Neurospora crassa OR74A: one gene and its partners. The protein of the gene in region 2 purifies or fractionates together with the protein of the main gene of each other region. This does not show direct contact. Links are inferred from orthologs where the notes say so. Each region holds a gene or a part of one and is shown on either strand. Other genes may lie near its edges.

Region 1 (7,869 bases), on a different chromosome or scaffold from region 2:
TCACGCGCCCTACACGGTATCGCAGGTGTGGCCATTGCGAGAGCCAGCTCCAGCTTGGTTGCCGGTGTGGTCTTGACTGCCAGCGAAGGCGATGATGAAGAGGGCGGAGGCGACGACGAAACTGCTGCTGTCGACGTGCTGACATGGATGACACCGGCGTTTATCCAGAATTTCGCCATCTCGGTCGGCCCGGTGTCTGCAGGATTGCTGCATGGTTTCTTTGGCGGGCAGGCGGCGGTCTTTACACTGGCTTATGCCGTTATTGCTTTGACGGTTGTGTTTGGAAGTCTCGTAGCGGTGTTACTGCCGCCGGGCAGATATCCCAGGGCAAGAGGCGATCGACACGAGGCAGAGGGTCTCCTTGCCTCTCGTGAAGATTCGCGAAACTATGGAACTCTCTCCTCCGGCGGGGGGTATTCCTCGAGAGAAGTGTCTCCCTGCCATGTCTCCAACCGATCGATCAGACGGCCCAGCCTGGCGGCCTCCGAAGTTACTGGTACTCAAGAGGGAGTGCTGACGCCCTCCATGTTGCGACTTGTTGTGCCCATGGGAGGATACATCGCACTTAGCCTGATCGGATCAGCGCTACAAAGTGTGCTACCGATTTTCGTGCAGCGAACATTCGAATGGCCCATGGCTGCCAGCGGCTTCGTCTTCGTCCCCCTTTCGGCTCCGGCGGCTTTGGTCGGCCTCTTAACGACCCCGCTTACGGCACGGTACGCGCAGGCTTCTCGATTGCTAACATCATTCGGTTTCATTGCGGCTGCTCCAGCTTTCACTTGTCTAGGCGGGTTGACCCAGAACAAGATGACCGTTCAGACGGCACTACTGGCTACCCTTGGCTGGATCTCTGTAGCCTTCGGTCTCTGCGGCGAGCCGTTAGTGAAGGAGATTCTCGATGCAGTCGCCGGTGGAGAGGATGTACTTGGAACGGGTGGCCTGTCAACTGGCGCAGCAAAGGCTGAAAGTCTACCCAGTCTCGCCAATGCCTGGGGCAGTTTCGTTGGCCCACTTCTTGTTGTAGCCGTTATGGGAGTTTCGGGCTGGGGAGGGCTGACTACAACGCTTTCATGGGTGTGCGGGTGCGCAGGACTAACCGCATTATTCTTCTTGGGCGGGCTGCTCACCGAAGCCAATTTTGAGAGCGCCGGAACATCGTCAGCAGATTCGTCTGACGAGGAGGCGGCACCTTTGCTGGACAAGGGCGATCCGCCTGACAGGTCGCCTTACTACCAAGATCCACATACAAGCCATAGTGGAGGTCTTGACAAGCTTCATCACGAAATTCTCCATGCACCTAAAACGGAGCGGAGCAACTTGACATCGGGATCGAGCAGCTCCTCCACGAGCAAGACTCGTCGCCGACAATTTAGCGTAGGCAACTTTTCCCTCGCAACCACCACGCAGTCCACGCTGCCACCGGGCGAAGGTTTTCAGCCAGACGGCTCTACAGCCTCCCAACTCCGCTTTCAAGCATCCTTCGAGACCGACTTACCGATCCCGGCACGTCTCCAGAACCCCGAGCATCGCCTCCTTATGAAGATGGTTCCTCACCTGCCGGAGACAGATCCGCTCCTGGTTACTGGAAACCGCTACGCGGTTGATCAATCCTCAAAACAGTCAAACAAGAACGGCGACGAAGAATCCGTGGACTCTAAAAGCAAGAAGCACGTAGTGGTATTCGAAGAGGGCGCGGCGCCGCCTGAGCTGCTCCAAAGCCGACCACATTACATCGTAGCCATCAATCGCGATGGTTCGCCTGAGGTGTTGTCAAAGGCTGATCCGAAGTTACATGATCTTGCAATGCACATCTCGGAGGAGACGACAGACGAAGCGGCCGAGCAAGAGTTGCCAGAGGGCTCGAGGCGGTATGTGGTAGTGGTGCTGAACGAAGGTGAGACGGGGCTGGAACTGACTGATTGAGTTTGGATAATGGAGGCCAGGCAACGGCTAGGCCCAGTCATATTCGGAAGAGAAGAGAAGAGAAGAGAAGAGAAGAGAAGAAAAGAAAAGAGAAGTATACATACCCGAGGCGGAGTTGGATAAGGCCCTCATTTGTTTCTAGGATTCGGTTTCGCTAGTACGTTTGCATTGTTTGCTCGGGGTTTGATTTCTTTTGGATGTATCGCAATCCATGTTGGATTTCCTTGTCATTATCTTGCCACCTTGTCTTCATTTCCGTATTTCCATGACGTCGTTCTGTTTGCATTATGTTAGCCAGCAAGATATCTTGAACTGATTCCAGGAGGTTGACATGGAAAGCACCTTGATGGCCCTGCATGTAATTGGACAATGCGTGGTCGCTGCATGCCCGCCAAACAAAAACCACCTCAGGCACATTGAACCGCCAACAGCTCAAGGACTTGACCCTGTTATGTTTGGCAATCGGCGGGGGATGCGGGGTGTTAGCGTTCCGGGCCTGCTGATCCGCTAAAGCTTAACACTGAGGTTGAACCTTATCAATGCCTGCCGCAGTTGCATGTAGTGTAGCTTCGATTCGGGAACCTTCAGGACTGGGAACGTCTTCCTCCCGTTGTCATCTCTTTCCGGTTGCTTTCCCCCACAACTTTCCCACTTTCTTCTCTTGGGTACAGCAGTCACACGATATCGAATACAATACCCTTATATGCCTGGCATAACCACGTGTATAGTTGAACTCCTCTACGGAACCACTACCAACACGGACAATGGACGAAGACGATCGAGAATACGGAAGCTCCGACAATGAGCAGGACGAGCTCATGGAGGACGCTGATGATGCCGAGAACGACACCTACGGCGAAGACTTTAATGAAGACGAAGAGGAAGACCAGGAAGACCAAGACGAGCCCGAGCGAGACCCAGAACCCGAACCGGAAGCAGAACCCTTCGACGAATCCCAAGCACAAAACGCCCACGACCCAAACGCCGCCGACCAAACCACGTCCCAGACAGCCAGACGCGTCTCCGCGACACCTTCAGGCTCGGGATCAGGGGCAAAATGGCGACCAACGATAAGACCAGAGTACATTACGGCTTCCACCTACGACATCGTTCCTACCATGGCCGCCCCACAAGCCACCAGCATCAATGCCATAGCCGTCACCCCGGACATGCGCTACTGGTTGACGGGCGGATCCGACGGCTACATTCGAAAGTTTGACGGCATAGCCACAATCAATGGCAAGCAACAACTCACTGTCGCCCAGAAGCATCCGTTTGTTGACAGTGTTGTCAAGTCCGGAGTGCTCATGAGCTATTGGGACAACCAGGAGTGGACAGGACAGAACACTAGAGATGACGACAGGATTCTGTCTCCGGTATACAGTCTAGCGGTGCACCGTCAGGCTTTGTGGGCTCTGAGTGGTCTAGAAAGCGGTGGCATCAACTTACAGAGCGTGAGGCACGACGAGGGAAAGAGGATACACTGCCTGCGGACGAACGGGCACACTAATGCTGTTAGCGTGCTACAACTGGCGCCTGATGAGAAGAGTGTGCTGAGTGGGAGTTGGGACAAGACGGTGCTGGACTGGGACCTCAACGATGGCTCGGTTATACGGCGGTTCGAGGGCAGCGGTGGACAAATATCGGCCATTGAGTTACGACCGACTTCGGGTGCTCCGATCCCAGCCGAGGCGAGCGATCCCGAGATCATCACGGACACTTTCGAGAGTAACAACTCGAAGCCAGTTTTGAACGGCTTTTTCTCTAATGGCGCGCATGGCGATATGGATACGACGGGGCAATCCAATGCGAACGACGGCGCCGTGAATGATGTCCCGTCACCAGAACATGAGTCGCTGTTCGGTAGTCCTGCAGGGTCACTCTTCGGGGACAACGAAACAATAGGCGGTGGGAATGCCTTTGGGGATGATGACGACGACAATGAGTTTTCCAGAGCTATGGGCATGGAACTCGAGGAGGAACAGAAAAACCAAGGGCACACCGACGATTTCCCAATGGGGGATACCGACACAATAATGGACACGAACACTGCTCAGGGACCCGGGCTCAATGCCATCGAGCCAGCCGAGAACGGGACCATCAACATGGACACATTTAACGGCGACTCTAGTCACACTATGTCAGACTTCGGACACCAACCAGCCACGAACCCCGAGCAACAAACCCAGCAACATCAGGAACAACAACAACCACCACGAGACCAGAACCCCATCCACCCAACTGAGCACGAACCTATCCCCTTCGAGCCCATCGCCCCAGCCTCCCCCAGCATGGTTGTCAACACAGCCCCTCCTCCTGCCCCGCAAAACGACGACACCCAAACGGCCCCCAACATCTTCATGGCCGCCTCCATTGACGGCACCATCCGTATCTGGGACCGACGGGTCCCCGACCCCGTCGCTCGTATCGGCAACCGGCGCGGCGTCCCGCCCTGGTGCATGGGCGCCTGCTGGTCCGTCGATGGCAACTGGATCTATGCCGGCCGACGTAACGGCACGGTCGAAGAATTCAGTATCCACAAGGCGCGCGGCGGGTGGCAGCCCGAGCGCACCCTGAAATTTCCCAACGGCAGCGGAGCCGTCAGTTGCGTGCGGCCCATGGCCAACGGGCGACATATTATCTGCGCGTCGCACGACATTTTGCGGTTGTGGGACTTGCAGGGCGAGACGCAAGCGACGAAGCATTCCAAAGTGCCTTTTGTGGTTGTCCCCGGTCCCCCCAAGGCGGGCGTCATTTCAAGTCTGTATATCGATCCCACGAGCAGGATTATGATCTCGGCGGCGGGGACCAGGGGGTGGGATGGTACGTCGACGGAGGTGTTGATTGGGTACGAGATTTCACCGGTGAAGTAAGAGGACAACGACGAGTGTCGCGAGAAGGAAAGTTGGCAGAAAAGATCACAAAGGAAGTTGGAAAACGCTGTGGTATTGGGTTGTCTTCTTTTCTTCGGTCCTTTCATTATTATCGCCTTCTTCCTAATTTGCCGGACATCCTCTCTTTCTACTACGTTTTGCTTCTTGACTTCGCTGAGGAGGGTTGAAGTTTTCAACAAGTCAGTCAGTCAGTCCACAGTAAGCTAAATGGATCATGGGCCACAAGACCTATGTGTATTCCGTCGCCTTTTTCCTTTTCTGTCAGGTTGAAATTCTTCTTGTCTAGTTATACTCATCCTGTCTGGGCTGGCGTTCTATGTTTATTTTGGTAGCGGTTGTTTATACCGGTCCCATAGCTAAGTATGCAGCGGTACCTGTATCTTTTGATAAAAGCGTACCAGAAACCCAGATCTCATCACCCACATCATCCACTCCACCACTCCAAGTTCAACAACAGGGACCAAGAAGCAAAAGACGGTCAGGATTAGCGACTGAAAGAGAGACAGGAACTACAAAGCAAGATTGCACCGCACCTTGAAATAATAATTGAAAAAAAAAAAAAAAAAAATTAATTCCAATACTTGGAATTGGCTGGTCGTCGCCGACCCAACTACTAGTCAGGCTCTTCTCTCTCGTTGGATTGGCGACGTCCTTTACATCAAGCCTAATGTTAGCGTGCCACACCAACATTTCGTCTCTTACGTCTAAGGATCAAATGCAGCTTTGATGCTACAATGGAAGACATGCCAAAAAGGCAACCAGAGGGTTCACTCCGGGTACGGATTGTTTTAATATCCCATATACGTACAGTAGATACCCTAGTAAATGCAACCCCCAGAAAATGCAAGTCCATACAAAGGTACTTAGTGATTGCAACTGGGCTGGTGGCCCGGATTCAATTATCATGTAACTGGGACCTTAGTAATTGCAAAATGCCATGTAAACGCAACTTTTCCCGATCCTCTCCAAAGAGCCTGGATTAGTTGCATTTACTAGGGTATCTACTGTACCAGGGGGCGGGGGTGCTGACACGGGCCCCCACATTTCTCCTCAAAACAACAACATCACACACATGTTTGACCAAAGTAGACAACAACCCAAACGCCTATCCTTGTATAGTCCCTACAACTAACATTTTTTCCGTTACATATCTCATTCATCATGAAAGACCGCGGCGGAGCACCACCGCTCAACAATCAAGTCCCATCCGAGGACGCCCAAGCGACCTAACAAGTCACCAGCAACCAGCACGCTGGATACGACCAGGAGATGGAGGTTGACTCCCAATCCGTTCCTGACCAAAGTTTGATGCATCTACAAACTTCTTCATGTCTCGTCATCTCACACCACAGAACAACAACAATCATTTCGCCAACTCAATTTGGAACCTCATCCGCGACGAGGGATCTGCGCACTCAGTGTTAGCTTCCAACTTTTGGCAAAATATTCACTCAGGGAAGGGAATTCCATGCTCACATTGCCTCTGCTCATCGCTCGCTCCTCCAATTGTCTTCACGTTGGATTTGATCATAATTGTCTTCGCAATGCTGGGGGTGCCCGCCTCGTCCATGACAAACAGCATCCAGTACCCAGGGATGACGATGCCGGGGTCATTGGGGATCTGCACATGGTAGCGACCGAACATCGGCACACGCCTCCCGAGAGGTAGGGGAACACGACGCTGGTCGGTGTTGACGGTGTGGGTAGCGCTGCAGAGGCGGACCAAGGAGGCAGATGCGATGCGGCGGTCGGTGTGGAATCTCAGTTCCTCTCCGACTTCGATGGTATCAGGCAGTTCGGTGCGGATCTCGGGACGAGATCGTTCTTCACCGTTCTCTGTCAGGAGATACGGCGGCGTGAAGATCTGGCCGTCGTAGTGGTTGGCGGAGCAGTTGCCGCAGAGACCGCCACCGGCGTTCAAGACTCGGCCGTCGGGCAGCAGGATTGAGAGGGTATGGTAGACGCGGACGACGTTGTTCTGGGAGAGCTCGGTGAAGGTGTTGGACTCTGGGTCGTACAACTCGGGCACGAACTGCACGTTCTCCTCGTTGAAAGCGATACCGAAAGTCTGGCCGCCGGCAATGAAGACCTTGCCATCTGGGAGGACGACGGAGGTGTGGAAGACGCGCTCGGAGTGCATCTTTCCCCCTTGGCCGGCAGGCTTCACGACTGGATCTTGGCCTGGTTCGCCCAGAGTGATGACATGTGCGTTGTTGGTAGCCCAGGACTTGTCGTAGTCAGGCGAACCTCCGATGGTGAGGATCTTGCCCTCCACAGCATCGAACATGACAGCGTTGCCAGACATGGAATCGTCGTCCTCGCCACGGTCTCCGGCTCCCTTGAAGCTGCCTTCTCCTTCCACGTAGTACCAGTTCATAGCTTTGCTAGGACCGGCCTGGAAGACGCTGTTCTTCTTCCACCCGAAGAGCCAGCCGTGGTTGTCGGCTCTCCATGGCCCCTCCATGTCATCCGTCAGCATCGGCTTGACTTGGGCACCGGGCAACATGGTCCAGTTCCCGGTGGCAGGGTCATAGACCTCTCCGTCTTTGGCGACGTTGGAGCCTCCAGCCCAAGAGCCACCGATGACGAAAACCCGTCCATCATCGAGGGTAGTGGAAGCCTGATACCCACGACGAAGGTGCATATCAGTACCCTTGATCCACTTATCCAGTTTACCATCGTAGAGACTGGTCGGGGAGGCGTCATTGCCGCCAGTCACAACCATCATGCCGGTACCATCGATGGAAATACCGGGGCAGAACATGTCGTGCTGGGTGTTGGTGACAATACGCTTGGAAACCTCCTTGGTGATGGGGTTCCAACGGGCCATTGCAGTTTGACCACCAGGTGTGGAGTGGAACTGATCCGCGGCCCAGGATGACCAGAGGATGATGTTACCAGACTTCTCCTGAGCCCCAGCAACAGGCACGACAGGGAAGTCAATGGTCGGTCCCCAGAGACCATTCTTGGGGTCCCGAGGGATGGTATACAGAGTGGCGTAGAGGTTCAGTTCGGAGATGCCAATCCATGAGGACTCGGTGGCTTCAGCGTT
Region 2 (7,317 bases):
CTTACCAACATTATCAACACCCTTCAGGTCATCCGCATCATTCTTCACTTCAAGTCCGACGAATGGGTTGTCAAGAATATGAGTCACATCCAAAAGATTTTGGAGAAGTGCTTGAAATCAGACAACCCAGAGATTCAGGACTGCCTCCACACGGCTGACAAGCAATGTGATGGTGACCGAGACGTCCGACCGATAATCAAGCGAATCCTCGACGCGGTCCCAGAAGATGTGCCCATGGAGGATGCTGATGCTGAAGGCGAAACGGAAGCGCCAACTTCGGAGGTTGTCACGTTCCTGTCCGGCATTGCCACGGAGAGTATGGCTGCGGCAAATTACGTTTCCGGTATCAATATTCTATGGTCATTGGGTCGCCGTCGTCCTACAGCTATCGACCAGCATATTCCTGCAATCATGAAGTCGCTTCAGTCCAAGTTGGCTAGAGACCACGTCTCCCACTATGCGGCGTTGGCACAGGGTGGCATCCCCCGACCACAGCCAGACAATGCCAATGCTGCAACCGAAATGAACGCATACGACCTTGAGATACAGACTGGGCTGATCATCAAGGCCATTGAGACTGTATCCCTTCGTATGGACATTCTCGGGGACAACCGGAGACCTTTCCTGAGCGTCCTCGCCACTATTGTGGAAAAGTCACTGCACACCGCTCTGTGTGAAAAGATCCTTGACATGGTTGAGGGATGGGTATTCCGCTCTGAGGGAACGTGGCCAACTCTGAAGGAAAAGACAGCCGTTCTTTCCAAGATGATCACGTTTGAGCACAGGCAAGATCCAACCATGCTCATGAAATTCCTCAACCTTGTTCTACGCATTTATGAGGACCCCAAAATCACACGGACTGAACTCACCGTGCGAATGGAGCACGCGTTCCTCATAGGAACGAGAGCTCAGGATGTGGATATGCGCACCCGCTTCATGGCCATCTTCGATAAGAGTCTCTCTAGGACTGCCAGTGCTAGATTGGCATATGTTATTTTGTCTCAGAACTGGGATACGCTAGCCGATTCATTCTGGCTGGCGCAGGCAATCCAGCTTCTTTTCGGAGGAGTGGATATGAATCTTCCCATTCAGCTACACCAGGACGATTTCCGTACCTTGTCAGCCTCTCAACTCATTGGAAGCTATGCCAAAGATACCAGAGAACCAGCCTTGATCAGCGATGATAAATACGAGGCGTTCATGGCAAGCCATCGCCGCTTTATTGCCGAGCTTGGGGACATCAAGGCGCGAGACATCCTTGAGCCTTTGACCCAGCTGCAACATATTGATAACAATCTGTCCAATGATATCTGGGTTGTTCTTTTCCCAATGTTCTGGTCCGCGACTTTGAAGGAGGATAGACCTGAGCTTCAGCGTGGCCTTGTCACCCTTCTCACCAAGGATTACCATTCTAGACAGATGGACAAGCGGCCAAACGTGGTTCAGTCCCTCCTTGCTGGAGCAGCCAAAGCTTTCCCAGAGTGCAGGCTACCACCCCATGTTCTCAAGTTTGAGGCTAAGACCTTTGACGCGTGGTACACAGCTCTCTGCCAGTTGGAGACCGCTGCCATCAAGCCAGGAGACGACTCAGCGATCGTCAAGGAAAGCAACCTCGACGCACTGGTGGATCTATATGCGTCTCTTGGTGAGGAAGATCTTTTCTTTGGCACATGGCGTCGTCGGTGCCAGTTTGTCGAGACCAACGCAGCGCTATCGTACGAGCAGAATGGCATGTGGGACAAAGCCCAAAAGATGTACGAAGCAGCCCAGATAAAAGCGCGGACGGGCGTCATTCCTTTCTCCGAGGGCGAATACATGTTGTGGGAGGATCACTGGGTTCTTTGCGCCCAGAAGCTCCAGCAATGGGACATTCTCCAGGAGTTTGCTAAGCATGAGAATATGCAAGACCTGCTGTTGGAGTCTATCTGGCGCAACACTGAGTACTGGCAAAACCAAGAGAACAGGGAGCAACTGGACAATCACATCAAGGGCCTGATGGATGCGCCTACCCCGCGCAGAAGCTTTTTCCAGGCCTTCATGTCGTTGTTAAAATATCACAACAAGCAAGAGAGTCTTCAGGACTTTAACCGCGTTGTTGACGAGGCGATCCAACTTTCCATCCGGAAATGGCACCACCTTCCTAAGCGTCTCACCACAGCGCACATCCCGATCTTGCAAAACTTCCAGCAGTTGGTTGAGCTTCATGATGCTAGTGTGATCTGCCAGAGTCTTTCCGCAACCAACTCGAACAACCTCGATGCACGGTCCGGTGAGCTTAAGCTGCTCCTCGGCTCATGGCGGGATCGTCTTCCTAATACGTGGGATGATATTGTCGCATGGCAAGACCTGGTCACATGGAGACAACACGTCTTTGGTCTCATCAACAACACATATCTTCAACTCTTGCCCCAACAAGGAGGACAAAGCGCTGGTGGTGCTTCGTTCGCGTACCGTGGGTTCCACGAAACTGCTTGGATTATCAATAGATTCGCGCATGTTGCCCGCAAGCATGGCCTCCACGAAGTGTGCATCAACCAACTCAGCCGCATCTACACCTTGCCGAACATCGAGATTCAAGAGGCCTTCCTCAAGCTGAGGGAGCAGGCCAAGTGCCACTATCAGAACCCAGAAGAGCTGCAAAATGGGCTGGAGGTCATTAACAACACCAATCTCGGCTACTTTACAGGTCAGCAAAAGGCTGAATTCTTCACCCTCAAGGGCATGTTCCTGGAGAAGCTTGGTCAAAAAGACGAGGTTGATACAGCTTACGGCATGGCACTTTCGCACGACATCTCGGCCCCTAAGGCGTGGGCAGAATGGGGCTACTTCAACGACAGAAAGTTCAGGGAAAACCCGGCTGATGTGCTTGCCGCCAAGCAGGCCCTTACATGCTACCTGCAAGCCGTGTCAAGCTATAAGAATCACAAGTCACGGAAGCTCATTGCACGGATTCTGTGGCTTTTGAGTCTCGATGACGCCAACAACACCATCTCGAGCGGGTTCGACGACTTTAAGGGCGAGACACCGACATGGTATTGGATTACGTACATCCCTCAGCTGCTCACCGGACTCAATCACAAGGAGGCACCGAGACTCCAGGTCGTCCTGAGCAAGATTGCTAAAAGCTACCCTCAGGCGCTTTACTTCCTGCTCCGAACCAGCCGCGAAGATATGCTGCAAATCAAGAAGGCTCAGGAGAATAAGGAGCGTCTGAGACAGCAACAGCAGCAACGAGCTCAAAGCGCAGCCGCAAACGCCAACAGGGCAAGTGCTACTCCGGGCCAGCCTACTCCTGCTGCTACGGCTACGGCTACTCCCAAGCCCGAAGGTGACTCGCGACCTGCCACCGCTACTGGCGATGCTGCTGGACAGATCAAGCCTGAAGTCAAGGCTGAGGGTGCAGTCAATGGTGTTCCTGTGGCACCTGGTCAAGGCAGCGTTCCTCCGCCAAACCCTGCTCAAGTCGCGGCAGGCCATCACGCTGCGGGTGCAGTCCCTGGTGCGCAGCCACAGGCCGTCCAGAAGAGGCCACCTTGGGAACTTACCGATGAGATCATGAGCATGTTGAAGACGGCGTTCCCGCTCCTGGCGCTGTCCATGGAGACCATGGTGGATCAGATCCAGAAGCATTTCAAGTGCCCACCTGACGAAGACGCATACAGACTCATTGTTGCACTCCTTAACGACGGCCTGTCATATGTCAGTCGTATGCCGACTTCGTATGCCAGAGACGTCAAGCTTCCAGTCGCAACCGAGGCAAATATAACACGTTTTGCTGAGACGATACTGCCGACTCACATCCGAGGTACATTTGAACAAGAGTTTGTTAAGGCCAAACCCACCATGTATGAGTATATCCACAAACTCCGGAAATGGCGCGACAAGTTTGAAGAGAAGCTGGATCGCCGTCGCACAAGCATGCCTTTGGAGAACTTCTCTCACTATACGCCACATCTTAGCGAGTTCCGGTATCAGAAGTTCGACGAGGTCGAGATTCCAGGTCAATATTTGCAGCATAAGGACAAGAATCAGGACTTTATCCGTATCGACAGGTTCCTGCCCAATGTTGATCTCGTCCGCACTTCCAATGTGTCGCATCGCCGCCTGAAGATCCGCGGCCATGATGGTAGTGTTCATTCGTTTGCTGTTCAGCATCCTGCGGCGCGACAGTCTCGTCGCGAAGAGCGCCTTCTTCAGCTCTTCAGACAGCTCAATCAGACCTTGAGCCACAAGAAGGAGAGTCGCAGGCGTGATCTCCAGTTCACACTGCCCTTAATGGTACCTCTTGCTCCTCATATCAGGATTATTCAAGAGGATACGTCGTATATCACTCTCCAGGGCATTTACGAGGACCATTGCCGCAGGTCGGGTGTACACAAGGATGAGCCATTCCTCTTTACGATGGAGAAATTGCGCGGGCTCATGGATGGAAAGCTGCCGAACGCGGTAAGTAGTCGCATGGTCCCCATGGATAAAACAGATGAGAGCAGCAATACTGACATGTCGATGCAGAAGTTATCTGAACAGGGGCAGAATGCGGCGGCTCGTCTTGAAGTGCTCAACGCAATTCAGGAGAAGTGGGTGCCGCACACACTGGTGCTGCAGTATTTCCAGGCTATCTTCCCCGACTTTGCCGAGTTCTGGCTCTTCAGGCGTCGCTTCTCGTACCAGCTCGCTGCGCTCACGTTCATGACGTACATCTTGCATATCGACAAGCGGTACCCGCACAAGTTCAACATCGCGCGCGGCTCAGGTAACATCTGGGGCTCGGAGCTCACGGCTCTCATGGCGGCCAACAAGCCCTACTTCAGCAACACAGAGCCGGTGCCCTTCCGTCTCACGCCCAACCTCCAGACGCTCATGGGCCCGCTTGCGCTCGAGGGCATCTTTACCGTTTCCATGATGGCGATCGCGCGCTGTCTGACGGACCCGGAGTTCCAGCTCGAGCACGCGCTGACGCTGTTTGTCCGTGATGAGATGATCTTTTGGTTCACGAGCAGTCACAGGCCGCTGAACCTGTCGGACAATCAGCTGAGAGAGACGGTGCAGGCGAACAGCGAGATGATTGTCAAGCGGGCAGCATCGCTGGCTCAGGCGCCGGCGGGCAACTTGCCGGCGTATCAGACGATCATCGATCTGATTGCGAAGGCGGTCAGTCCGTTGAATCTGGCGCAGTGTGAGGCGTTGTGGATGCCGTATCTGTGATGGAGGGGTGGAGGTTTGAATGGTAGTTTGAGTCGCTGAAAGTGTGTTTCATTATGAGGAAAAGATTTTACAGGAACGTTGGAGTTTGTATGCTAGGAAAGGAGGACAGAGCACAGGGTGTATGTGGTAATGATGGGTTGTATCTGCATTCATGACGGTTATTGTATGGAGCGCAAAGTTTGCATTGTTCTTGGTGTTAAGAGGAGTAGAAAAGTGATCAGTTAGCAGCAATGATTCAGATACACAAGGCCTACGGGCTGTTTATGAAATGTTTGGGCTTGTGAGACTGTGAAATAAAGTTGCCGTGGCTTGAGCTTATCCTCGATGAGCTCGTCGGTGCAACATTCGGGTGCGTAACGGATTAAATCACATGCTTGCTCGCCCTCATCCCAAACCCCGACACAGCCGCATCACGGAGTTGGCGATATCGGAGTTTGGAGCAATGGCACCACCCCCTGACCCCAATTCCAACCAAGTCCGTCCTGCATGCACACAGTTCAGCACAGTAAAAGCAAACAAACAGAGCACTAAGCACATAAGCTTCCCGAGCCGAGGCCCAACCAGGGCGGGCAGTCGGTGATACTTTCGGGAACTTGCCAGCAGTCCGAGGGGGATCAGCGCTTTCCAGCCGCACTAGATACCAAGCTAAAAGCGGTAAAAGGTTCCCCGGTTCCCCGCATTAGCAGCCATTAGGAACGATTGACCTCTTTTACTCAGAGGCACCCGCAGGACTGGACCGTCACTCAGCCAGGACTTCCACTTGACCTCGCAGAAACTCCAGCAGAGAAGGGACGGGGCCTCTCACAAGACACCAGCTCACCAACTATGTCCTCCACCGCACACTTTGCCATTGGCTTGTTGGTTCCTCACCTACGTCGAAAAAGCGGTCTCAGATCACGGGCACCAGAGTACCTGCATTCCACACTATATACATACTACCAATACTGCTACTGATCGACGTTCGTCATCGCATTTGGCGCGTGTCGCGGTGAAGGAGGTTGAAACGAACTAGGTAAGGTAGCTAACCTAGCTGACTGTTTCGCCGCATTGGTCGACTTGGACGACTTGGACGACTTGGATTGTTTGACTGTGGGCCAGAAGCAGTCAAGAGTTTGTTGGCTAAGGAAAAGTGGAAAGTGGATATATAGTTGAAGAACGACAGCCGTCCGGTTCCCTCTTGGTAAGAGATTCCTTCCAAGTGATTTTGTTTTTTTTCTTTCTTTTCCCCCATTTCGTAACATATTTTGCCTTCGATACCATTTACCAAAAGATGTCGGTGGCAGCGGAATTGCCGTTATCGGCTTTGTCGTCGTCGGCTGCGACTGGTCCTACTGCCGTGATGAACTCTGCGGATGTCGAGATGGGAGTTAACACTGAAGTTACAGGGGTTACAGGGGTTGCAGAAGTTGTTACGGAAGTCCTCAGCACAGAAACCATCACAAACTCAAAAGTCGAGGACACATTGGAAGACGAAATCAACGAAATCATCATGCGCCCAGACGTGATCCCGAGGAAACTCTGGGAGCACCCGGACCCGGAGAGCACGCCGATGTGGCGGTTCTTGCAGAATGTGAATAAGCGACATGGACTTGACATGAAGGTCAGTATTCCATGTCCGCCATTTGAACCCATTGTACCCCGGTATGTTAACAATATTCCTTTTAGACCTTTTCGGAGCTCCATGAATACTCCCTCCGAAACCGCTCGCAATTCTGGGCAGACGTCTGGGAGGAAGCCAACTATATCCACGAAGGCACCTACAGCAGAGTAGTCGACGAATCCGCCCCCATTGACGCCGTTCCCATCTGGTTCGAGGGCGTCAAGCTCAGCTACGCCGAGAACGTGCTCTACTCCCGACCCAAGGGCAGCTCTTCAAGTCAAATCCGATCCACAGTAGGGAAGGAAGACGACAAGGTAGCCGTGACCGAGGTGCGTGAAGGCGCAAGCGAAACCCGCGATGCCACCTACGGCGAGCTGCGCGAGCGAGCAGGGAGACTAGCCGCCGCGATGAAGGCGCGTGGAGTCAAGAAGGGCGACATTGTGGTCATTGTGGGTTCCAACAGCATCGACACACTGCTCGTCTGGCTGGCCACCTCGTGGCTGGGCGCCATC
Region 3 (8,208 bases), on a different chromosome or scaffold from region 2:
GTCGCGGAAGGGAATGACGACAGTGCATCCTTGTCTCGCTGCAAATGTTCTTGATATAAGCCATGGTGATCTCTATAGAGGCCTACGCCACAAAGTCGCCAGATCGTACCTAGTCTGTTGACGATGTAGCGGCCGAGTTGGCCGGTCGCACCGAAGACTGTCGCCGTATGTCCACCGAGGGAGGAGCTGTGGAGGTAGACGACGTGTTAGCAATCGCCCATTCTACCCAAGCAGAGATATAGCAACAATTACCGGCCACCCTGGTTACGGATGATGGGCTTGCCGGTGCGGGTGATGGTCACGTCGGAGATAGCTCGTCGCTGAAAGCCAAAGGCATTGGAAACGATAATTCTGGGAGTCGACCGCATCGCGGCCGTCAAGGGAGCCATCTTGTGAGTTGGGGGGTGGCAGGGCTGGCCGGATCCCGTTCAATTGGTGATGGAATCAGAGGCTATCCGGAGCTTCAAGCTGCCGTCTTCAATATCGAATCCGGGACGTCGAAGCCGGCTCTCGCTGCCCGCCTGCTGCCCGCCTGCCGTCAGCACCCCCCCCCCCCCTTCAATGTACCCAGCGACCAAACTGCTGACGGGAATCACGTGTGCCAAGCTTCCTCACTTACACTCAACGGCAGTACGTACCTCTGCCAGATAGACATGTACCTTTTGGGCTCCCGCCTCCAGTACGTACCTTAGCTTCACCCAGCTTCCACTTGGCAGTGACTGTGGGGGCCTCCACAGTGCTGGGAGAGCATCCACAATGACCGACCGTAGCTGGCTGCACGCCTAATGCCGCGTCAAGGCTTCACTGCAAGACGTCAACCAAGACAACCTCAAAACAACACTTCCACTTTCATCCCGTCCTCCATTGTAGACGTACCACTGCATTGTTCCGCCGGGATTTTCTACAACGAGCAACATCCCACGATAAGTACGCTGGTTTCCATCCGCAGCAGACTCACCGACGTTTCCACCAAAGAGACCGGATCCTCGAGAATCTGCCTACCTCCCCAAGGACTGGACAGCAAGGATCGATAGAAGACTCAGACACACACACCCACACCCACACCCACACCCACACCCACACCCACACCTAGACACAACACCACAGCCATGAACGTCGACACCATCTCCGACTTCCTCGCCGAGCAGCGCGACCAGGCGCCCGAAGAACTCCAACCCCTCGTCCTTGAGTTCGAGACACTATGGGAGCGCAAGCTGTGGCATCAGCTCACCAACCTGCTGCTTGAGTTCTTCAACCACCCCGGCAGTGCCCCGCAGAGGCTACAGTTCTACAAGGTCTTCATTCTCAAGTTCGCCGACAAGATCAACCAGCTCAAGCTCGTTGATCTTGCTCTCAAGGCCGCCACACAATGTAGAGGTGCGCAGACGGTCTTCATTTCCTCTGCTTCCAAACATGCATCTGGCAGCTAGCACTAACCACGCCTGGGTGCGCAAACCGTAGACAACCAAGAGCGCCTCTCCTTTTTGGAAGCCGTCGTCAAGAAGGTCGACCACGAAGACTCTCAAGACGCCTATGTATTCGCCACGATCGCCGTTGCCCGCGTGAAGCTCGACCTCTCCGACCTTGACGGCGCGCGCAAGGACCTGGACACGGCCGAGCGAATCCTCGACAACTTCGACTCGGTGGAGTCGGTCGTGCACGCCGCCTTCTACGACACCAACGCCAAATACTTCCAAGCCAAGTCCGACTGGGGCTCCTACTACAAGAACGCGCTGCTGTACCTCGCCTGCATCGACGTCAAGTCACTTTCACTCGAGGAGCAGCGCCAGCGCGCCTACAACCTGGCCATCGCGGCCCTCGTCAGCTCGAGCATCTACAACTTTGGCGAGCTTCTGCTGCACCCCATCCTCGACGCCCTCACCATCGACGACCGGCACAAGTGGCTGCACCAGCTCCTCTTTGCCTTCAACCGCGGCGACCTTGCCGCATACGACCTACTGGCCAGCCACATCAGCTCGGACCCGCTGCTGGCGCAGCACACGCGCCAGCTGCGCGAGAAGATCTATCTGGCGGCGCTGACCGAGGCCGTGTTTCGCCGCCCGCCCCATGACCGCGCCATGTCTTTCTCCACCATTGCGAACGAGACCAAGGTACACCCCGACGAGATCGAGCACCTGATCATGAAGGCGCTGAGCTTGGATCTACTGCGGGGCACGATCGACCAGGTTGACGAGGTGGCCCACATCAACTGGGTGCAGCCCAAGGTGTTGGACATGCAGCAGATCAAGAACATGAGGCAACGGCTGCAAGAGTGGGATTCCAGTGTTGACAAGCTGGGTAACTGGATCGAGGGTGTGGGCCAGGATGTTTGGGCTTAAAGGGTGGACGAATCTACGGACGGTGTGAGGAGATGGGAACAATTCGGGCGTTCAAACGGATGGCATCAAACCTGGAGATACAGGAGTAAACCTAATGCTTAGATCAGGGAACAAGGCCAGCTAAAGGCATGATGTTATTCCGCTGCATGAGGCAGACCGACTTTGCATGATACATATGAATACCCATAACGCATGACAACGCCCACGGCGTACGTCCTCCATTCTCTAAAAATCCAGGCCCATGCTTTGGCCTGAGTTATGTCTATGTGAATCCTCTCCATGTACGCTCCATGAACAAAGGCAAATCCAAAATACGCCGGCAAAATATGCTTCCTTGAACGCCGCAAAAAGATCAAGTAGTGTACAAAACGTAAATGAGCCATCTGGCACGTGTTTACTGGAAACAACATCATACACAGGAAAAAAATATTTGCTGCTTACTTGCCCCTACTCGTACACCGTTTATCCGAGCTCAAGACAGGGACCGAACAATGTAAAAGAGAAGATAGGCCTTTGCGTTTAGCACATCAGACTTCTGGGCCAGTTCAACTTTGTGATCGTTAAATGCGAACCACTTAAATAAATGTGCCAAAGGCAGCGGGTCAGCAAGTCTAACCCTTCAGGAACTAGATGTGTGTCATGGTTCACTAGTCAGACTCACCTGGTCGCCAACCCGGCAATAAGAAATGTAGTGTCCGGTATCCATGTCGCCAACGTGCACAACAACGCATAGAAGATCGTAAGTGCAGGACCGCTGTAGCTCGTAGTTATCTTTGAGATCCTGTGTTCGTGCGCGTGTCGTATAAGGCAGCATGTTGAGTTGTAAAGGAAACTGGACAGGTGTCTCGATCTTCTGGGCACGATCATTACGCCCTTGTTTGAACTCGAACCTCTGTTGGCAACTGTCAGCTTCTGTTGTCTCCAAGCGAAGCCAGCGGTAACGGCCAGTAAGGAATGTGCATGAGGAAGGATTCCGGTAATCTGACCTTGAGCTGGATAGAAAGAACGTTGGGTAATTTCTTGATACTGGTCTGTCTTCTTGCTTGCTGTACTGAATTGCAGTTCTGACACCGATACTCGCACTTATCGGATTTGATGTATTCTTCGTCCAAGCATTCCTGGAGAGTCACGCTGTTTTGCGTTCTTGTCGATGCGACCCCGTCGCCATTCGTCAAGTTCTTCTTGCCCCTTTTTTGCGTCAAATTTTCCAAGGGAACACTGAGATCCAAAAAGCTCTGGGCTTGATTGGTGACGCCCCCACAGTTTTGGCACGTTGTGGACGTCTGTAACTTTCCGTAGTATGTTTGGTGGATGATGCAGTTGCAGGTATGCTCACTGCCAATTTCCGGTCTCTTGCCGTCGCCATTTCTCTCGTGTAATTCCTCAGCCATGAACTGGAAAAACTCATGAGCATCTTGCTCCTTGTTGGCTACCAAGTTCTCAAACGCCTTGTTCTCGCTGATCCAGAATCCGGACAAGATATTTGCGGCGGTATAACCGTTCGTCGTTTCGCTGGCATAAAATTCCTGGAACATATCGTCCATGGCACAACTGAGGCAATGGGGTGTGTCGCAACTGCCTGACTGATGCCCATCACTCAGGTAGAAGTTGCGTAGTATGGGATTGTGGAGGAATGATTGGAGGACAACGTTTTGATAGCAAGTTGCTCCGGCATTATAGATACCACGGAGACCGTTAGCCTTGCAGGTGGCGAGGGTGGTGTTGGTCGATATATACTGGGGAGCGTCTTTTACGGGATCAGGGGCGAAGAGTTCCTCATGTTTACGCTTTCGGCCTGTGATAGAAATACAGATTAGTAACAGCCAAGGCTCATCGACATAGGAGAAGGTACCGGGCATAAGCCCCCATGGGTAAGACGGAGAAAAGGACAGAAAAACATACTACCGAAAAACGACCCTGTGCCGAGCTTCTTTAACCTCAAATCCTCAAAGGTAGGGTCCCACACAATATCATCACACATTTGGCAATACACCGCTCCGCTCCTCGACTCAACATCTGATTACAACTGTCAGTTTCCTTGCCCCATGATTTGGCTCCTTCTGGCAGAGGCAGCGAACGTACAGAAGCGATGTGATTTTTTGTTGCCGTGTTTTGTAAGGTCATCGTCGGTGAGAGTCGAGGGGCATTGCAGACAGAGGTAGGTTGGGGTAATGGATGTTACAACCTGGCCATCTACGCCCTTGGCCGTGTGTGACAGGATAGGGTTGATGTCGAAGATGGCTCGCAGAATGGTCTTGTAATGTTGTATGGACATGTTGATCGTCGCTTGATCTTGGTTAAAGAGACGGCCGACATGCTCTAGAAGAGGTTAGAAAATAAGGCCGTGTAGCAGGGACAAGAATGGGCCATCTTACCACATCCATACATTGGCTGGCCGGGCTGGGGCTCCTTGACCTTGTGGTCCTTGGAGGACGCAGCGTTGGCCGACATGGTGATGTGATTGTTCGCTCGTCGAAAGCCCCAAATGTGAAGCCCGTGTGTGCTAGTAGTTCTGAAGGGGAGGAGCTGTGTTCGAATCCGCAGTGGTTGGAGCGGTCCGTGACCGGGTTAGCAACGAGGACGAGTGTTGCTTCAGACGCTGGGGATGATGTTCCTGGACTTTCGGCTCGTAAGAATCGAAACAATGGGTGAATCTAGCTGCAGAATTGGCTTTATTGAGCCTGGCTTTTCACCAGTTGAGATGGCTTGTAAGGGTCGTGGCGAGGCCGGCAAATCGCGTTCCGCTCGGGAAAGAGCACAGTTCCCGGCGGTTCGGTCCAAGTACCTGGAATAAGAGGACTTGTTAGCAGCGATGCACGTCAATTAACGGTCGCGCTTTTTCTATTGGCAACATTTGCTGGTGATTTCCGTCTTACCGTCTATCAAAGCAACGTGTACAAAGCCGGTAAAGTAGCAACAGGGATCTTCTCTGGTTGTGTTGGTTCTCCCGAAGCAAGATGGGTTTGAAGTTGTTCGGGGTTGGAATCTCCATCCGATTTCCGCGGCGTCAACATGGGCAATCAATCAATGGACGCCAACTGCACTTGCATGGACGGCAGCGACATGAACGGCTTATCGAACGCTACCTACGCAAGGCTTATCGATAACGAGAAAGGGGACAGAACCAAAGGGTGGAACCTTTTCAACGCATATAAGTACCTAGGTATGTAACTCTTCGTTGTGTCTGATTGGCCCGTAGCACTCATACAGAGCGTGCAGCGAGGTACCTGAGACGGAGTCTGAGGATCTCTGTACATCTCAACCGAGGTGTCTGCCAGGCCTGCATTTCACTTCACAATCAATTCTCCCAACGACAAGGCAACCTCCAGCGCGAGCCATCGTCATTTGAGAAGCTAGACTTCAGAAAATCAGAACTTTCTGGAGGCTGATTCGGCTCTCTTCCGTGCTTCATGGTCCAAAGGGTTGGCAGCACATCTAGAGGTATCCTCTATCGTCTGTATCGATTCATTGTGACCGATGATGTAGCTGTGTGTCAAATGCCCCTGTCATGACAAAATCCACGCAGACAACAAGCCGTTGATACAGTCTCTAAACTCATCAGTTATAGCTAAGTATGTCAAGAAATTGAAGCGATTCGGACAAGCACGCAAACACCATCAAAAAGGTTGCGTTCCTGGGAGATGTGGTATCAACAGAAAAGGGATTCTTTAGGCCACCACTTGCAACACGTTCTCACAACGGACTTGAACTTGGCGAGCCCGGCCAGCAAACCATCCACCCCGAGTCCGGCTCATATGGCCGATTCGCCAGGTGATCTTCGGAGCTTGCGTGGGTGGTAGCCGGACATTGATTATGTGCGATGGTATCATTGCCGACGCCTCGGCTCGGCAGTACCCCGCAGTCTGTTAACTAGCTCTCTCTCTCTCTATACGCGGTACTCCCACCTCACCAGGACGCAATATCCCACCGTGTTTCACACCAAGTAAGGTTCTCATTCGGAATTGTCACTACTTCCTGTGTGTCGTTCATTTTTTGCCCGTACTACTCCTGGTCCTGGATGTCCTCACCTGTCATCCCGCTCCTGGGACTCTCAACCAGGCCATCATTGTATCGAACTTCATCATCATTTAATACTCGGCTATCTCGCCTTTCCAAGATCCCATATCAACATCTGAAAACAGATCACAAGCATAACCGCAGTATCACCATGTCTTCATCTGCAGTCCAACCGCGAATTACTCCTCTCCCCGAAGTCACCCGCCTCAGCCCAACTGTCATCCGCATCCTCGGCGGCAACCCCGGCAAATTCACCCTCCAGGGAACCAACACCTATCTAGTCGGCACCGGCCCCCAGCGTCTCCTTGTCGACTCAGGCGCCGGCGAGCGCTCCTGGATCTCCGCCCTACAACGGACCCTCACCGACGAGAAAGCTCACATATCAGCCGCCATCATCACTCACTGGCACCACGACCACACCGGCGGGATCCGGCACCTGCTCGACTGGAACAGCAAGATCAAAGTCTACAAGAACCAACCCACCTACCTACCAGGCTACCACGGCAGTCCAGTCTCGCTCGAGCAAATTGGCACTCCACTTCTCCCCATCGAAGACGGGCAAGAGTTCAGCGTGGAGGGCGCCACGCTTAAAGCGGTGCACACCCCAGGCCACACGGTCGACCACATGGTTCTCCACCTGGCCGAGGAGGACGCGCTCTTCACGGGAGACAATGTGCTGGGCCACGGGACGGCCGTGTACGAGGATCTGGGGGTGTACCTGAACAGTCTGGAGCAAATGCGAGGGCTGTTTAAGGGGAAGGGGTATCCGGGCCACGGACCGGTGGTGGAGGACGGGCCGGGCAAGATTGGAGAATATATTAGGCATCGGCAGCAGAGGGAGGACCAAGTTATTGCAACGTTAAAGAGAGACAGTGAAGATGGATGGACGCCGATGGAGTTGGTCAAGGTTATCTATCAGGGCGTACCGGAAACTTTGCATATACCGGCCGCTGGAGGGGTGACGCAGATCCTTTATAAATTGAGGAAAGAGGGGAAGGTGACGACGGCAGATGGTGGCGATCGATGGCGGCTGACTGATCGATCGGCCCTGTGAGAAGATGGCGCATGGCGCTCAGGGTCACAACGTGGGAAGAACCAGCCAGCCGGTTCTTGGGCTGAATTGCGCATGATGTATGTATGAGGGTGATGATGATGATGATGATGATAGTGATGGGTGGAGTAGAACCCATTCAGGGTTCGGAACTGGTGCCGTTTGTCGCTTGTCGCTTCGCTCTCTCCCCAGAGCCGCGAGTGTGATGTGCATTGCACTCGAATCCTTTTGGGGCACTGTACTATGTATGTACACAATGATCGCCCGTAGCCTTGACAGCATGCACGGTGCAGTGGATTTATGACTGGCGCGCCAGTTCATGACACCAAGTTCGCCTGACGAGGTTCCCGTTTTCGTACGGATCCTTGTGTAGTAGCCAGCACCCAGTCAACCCTAGTAAGCGAAACGGCCCGGGGACGGTCCAGCGTACATAGTATATACTAGACTAGGTTTCAAGACATTGTTACCCCGTCCCTAGCTGGAGCGCCTGGAGCACAGGAAACGACTGTTTACGCGGTTCGTGTGCAATGCACATTTCCGGCTCTTAGGTTGGTACGGATGGAGTCGGGTGCTATGTTGTATGTAAGTAGTGTACAACGAGTGGGCGTGTAGTTGAACCATATGTGCACTACAGTGACAACCGAAACCACCATCATTCAGCCCTAGCGTGCCCGTGACGTCAGTCCATGACGGAGCTGAGTGGATGCCGCTTTGGGGTAGCTCGCTTTCATCGCAGGAGCAGAGCCTCAGATGACAACCGACGACCGCCCGTGTGGGACGGCTTTCAGTGCCAAAATACAC

What was found.
Region 1: the proteins of stk-18 (region 2) and NCU09208 purify together in Saccharomyces cerevisiae (affinity purification with mass spectrometry; 7 studies listed by BioGRID, with this or other methods). This does not show direct contact. The link is inferred for Neurospora crassa OR74A from reciprocal best matches to the Saccharomyces cerevisiae genes TRA1 and SPT8.
Region 3: the proteins of stk-18 (region 2) and NCU02375 purify together in Saccharomyces cerevisiae (affinity purification with mass spectrometry; 8 studies listed by BioGRID, with this or other methods). This does not show direct contact. The link is inferred for Neurospora crassa OR74A from reciprocal best matches to the Saccharomyces cerevisiae genes TRA1 and UBP8.

What each region holds. Positions count from the first base shown.
Region 1 is NC_026501.1:5,839,455-5,847,323, forward strand, and holds NCU09208 (transcription factor SPT8), read left to right. Parts: upstream 1-2,513; 5' UTR 2,514-2,687; coding exon 2,688-4,796; 3' UTR 4,797-5,366; downstream 5,367-7,869. Other genes in the region: NCU09207 (hypothetical protein), read left to right, coding at 1-1,923; NCU09209 (galactose oxidase), read right to left, coding at 6,181-6,224, 6,294-7,869. UniProt on the Saccharomyces cerevisiae protein: Component of the transcription coactivator SAGA complex. SAGA acts as a general cofactor required for essentially all RNA polymerase II transcription. At the promoters, SAGA is required for transcription pre-initiation complex (PIC) recruitment.
Region 2 is NC_026505.1:3,820,883-3,828,199, reverse strand, and holds the end of stk-18 (histone acetylase complex subunit Paf400), read left to right. Parts: coding exon 1-4,446; intron 4,447-4,512; coding exon 4,513-5,205; 3' UTR 5,206-5,494; downstream 5,495-7,317. Other genes in the region: NCU01378 (acetoacetyl-CoA synthase), read left to right, coding at 6,695-6,805, 6,871-7,317. UniProt on the Saccharomyces cerevisiae protein: Essential scaffold subunit of the transcription coactivator SAGA complex. SAGA acts as a general cofactor required for essentially all RNA polymerase II transcription.
Region 3 is NC_026507.1:2,710,844-2,719,051, reverse strand, and holds NCU02375 (ubiquitin carboxyl-terminal hydrolase 2), read right to left. Parts: upstream 5,357-8,208; 5' UTR 5,216-5,356; intron 5,125-5,215; 5' UTR 4,791-5,124; coding exon 4,715-4,790; intron 4,659-4,714; coding exon 4,422-4,658; intron 4,356-4,421; coding exon 4,242-4,355; intron 4,135-4,241; coding exon 3,326-4,134; intron 3,232-3,325; coding exon 3,001-3,231; intron 2,914-3,000; coding exon 2,812-2,913; 3' UTR 2,443-2,811; downstream 1-2,442. Other genes in the region: nuo40 (NADH-ubiquinone oxidoreductase 40 kDa subunit), read right to left, coding at 1-38, 110-186, 253-389; rpn-9 (proteasome regulatory particle subunit), read left to right, coding at 1,110-1,377, 1,462-2,339; NCU02376 (metallo-beta-lactamase domain-containing protein), read left to right, coding at 6,358-7,410. UniProt on the Saccharomyces cerevisiae protein: Histone deubiquitinating enzyme component of the transcription coactivator SAGA complex. SAGA acts as a general cofactor required for essentially all RNA polymerase II transcription.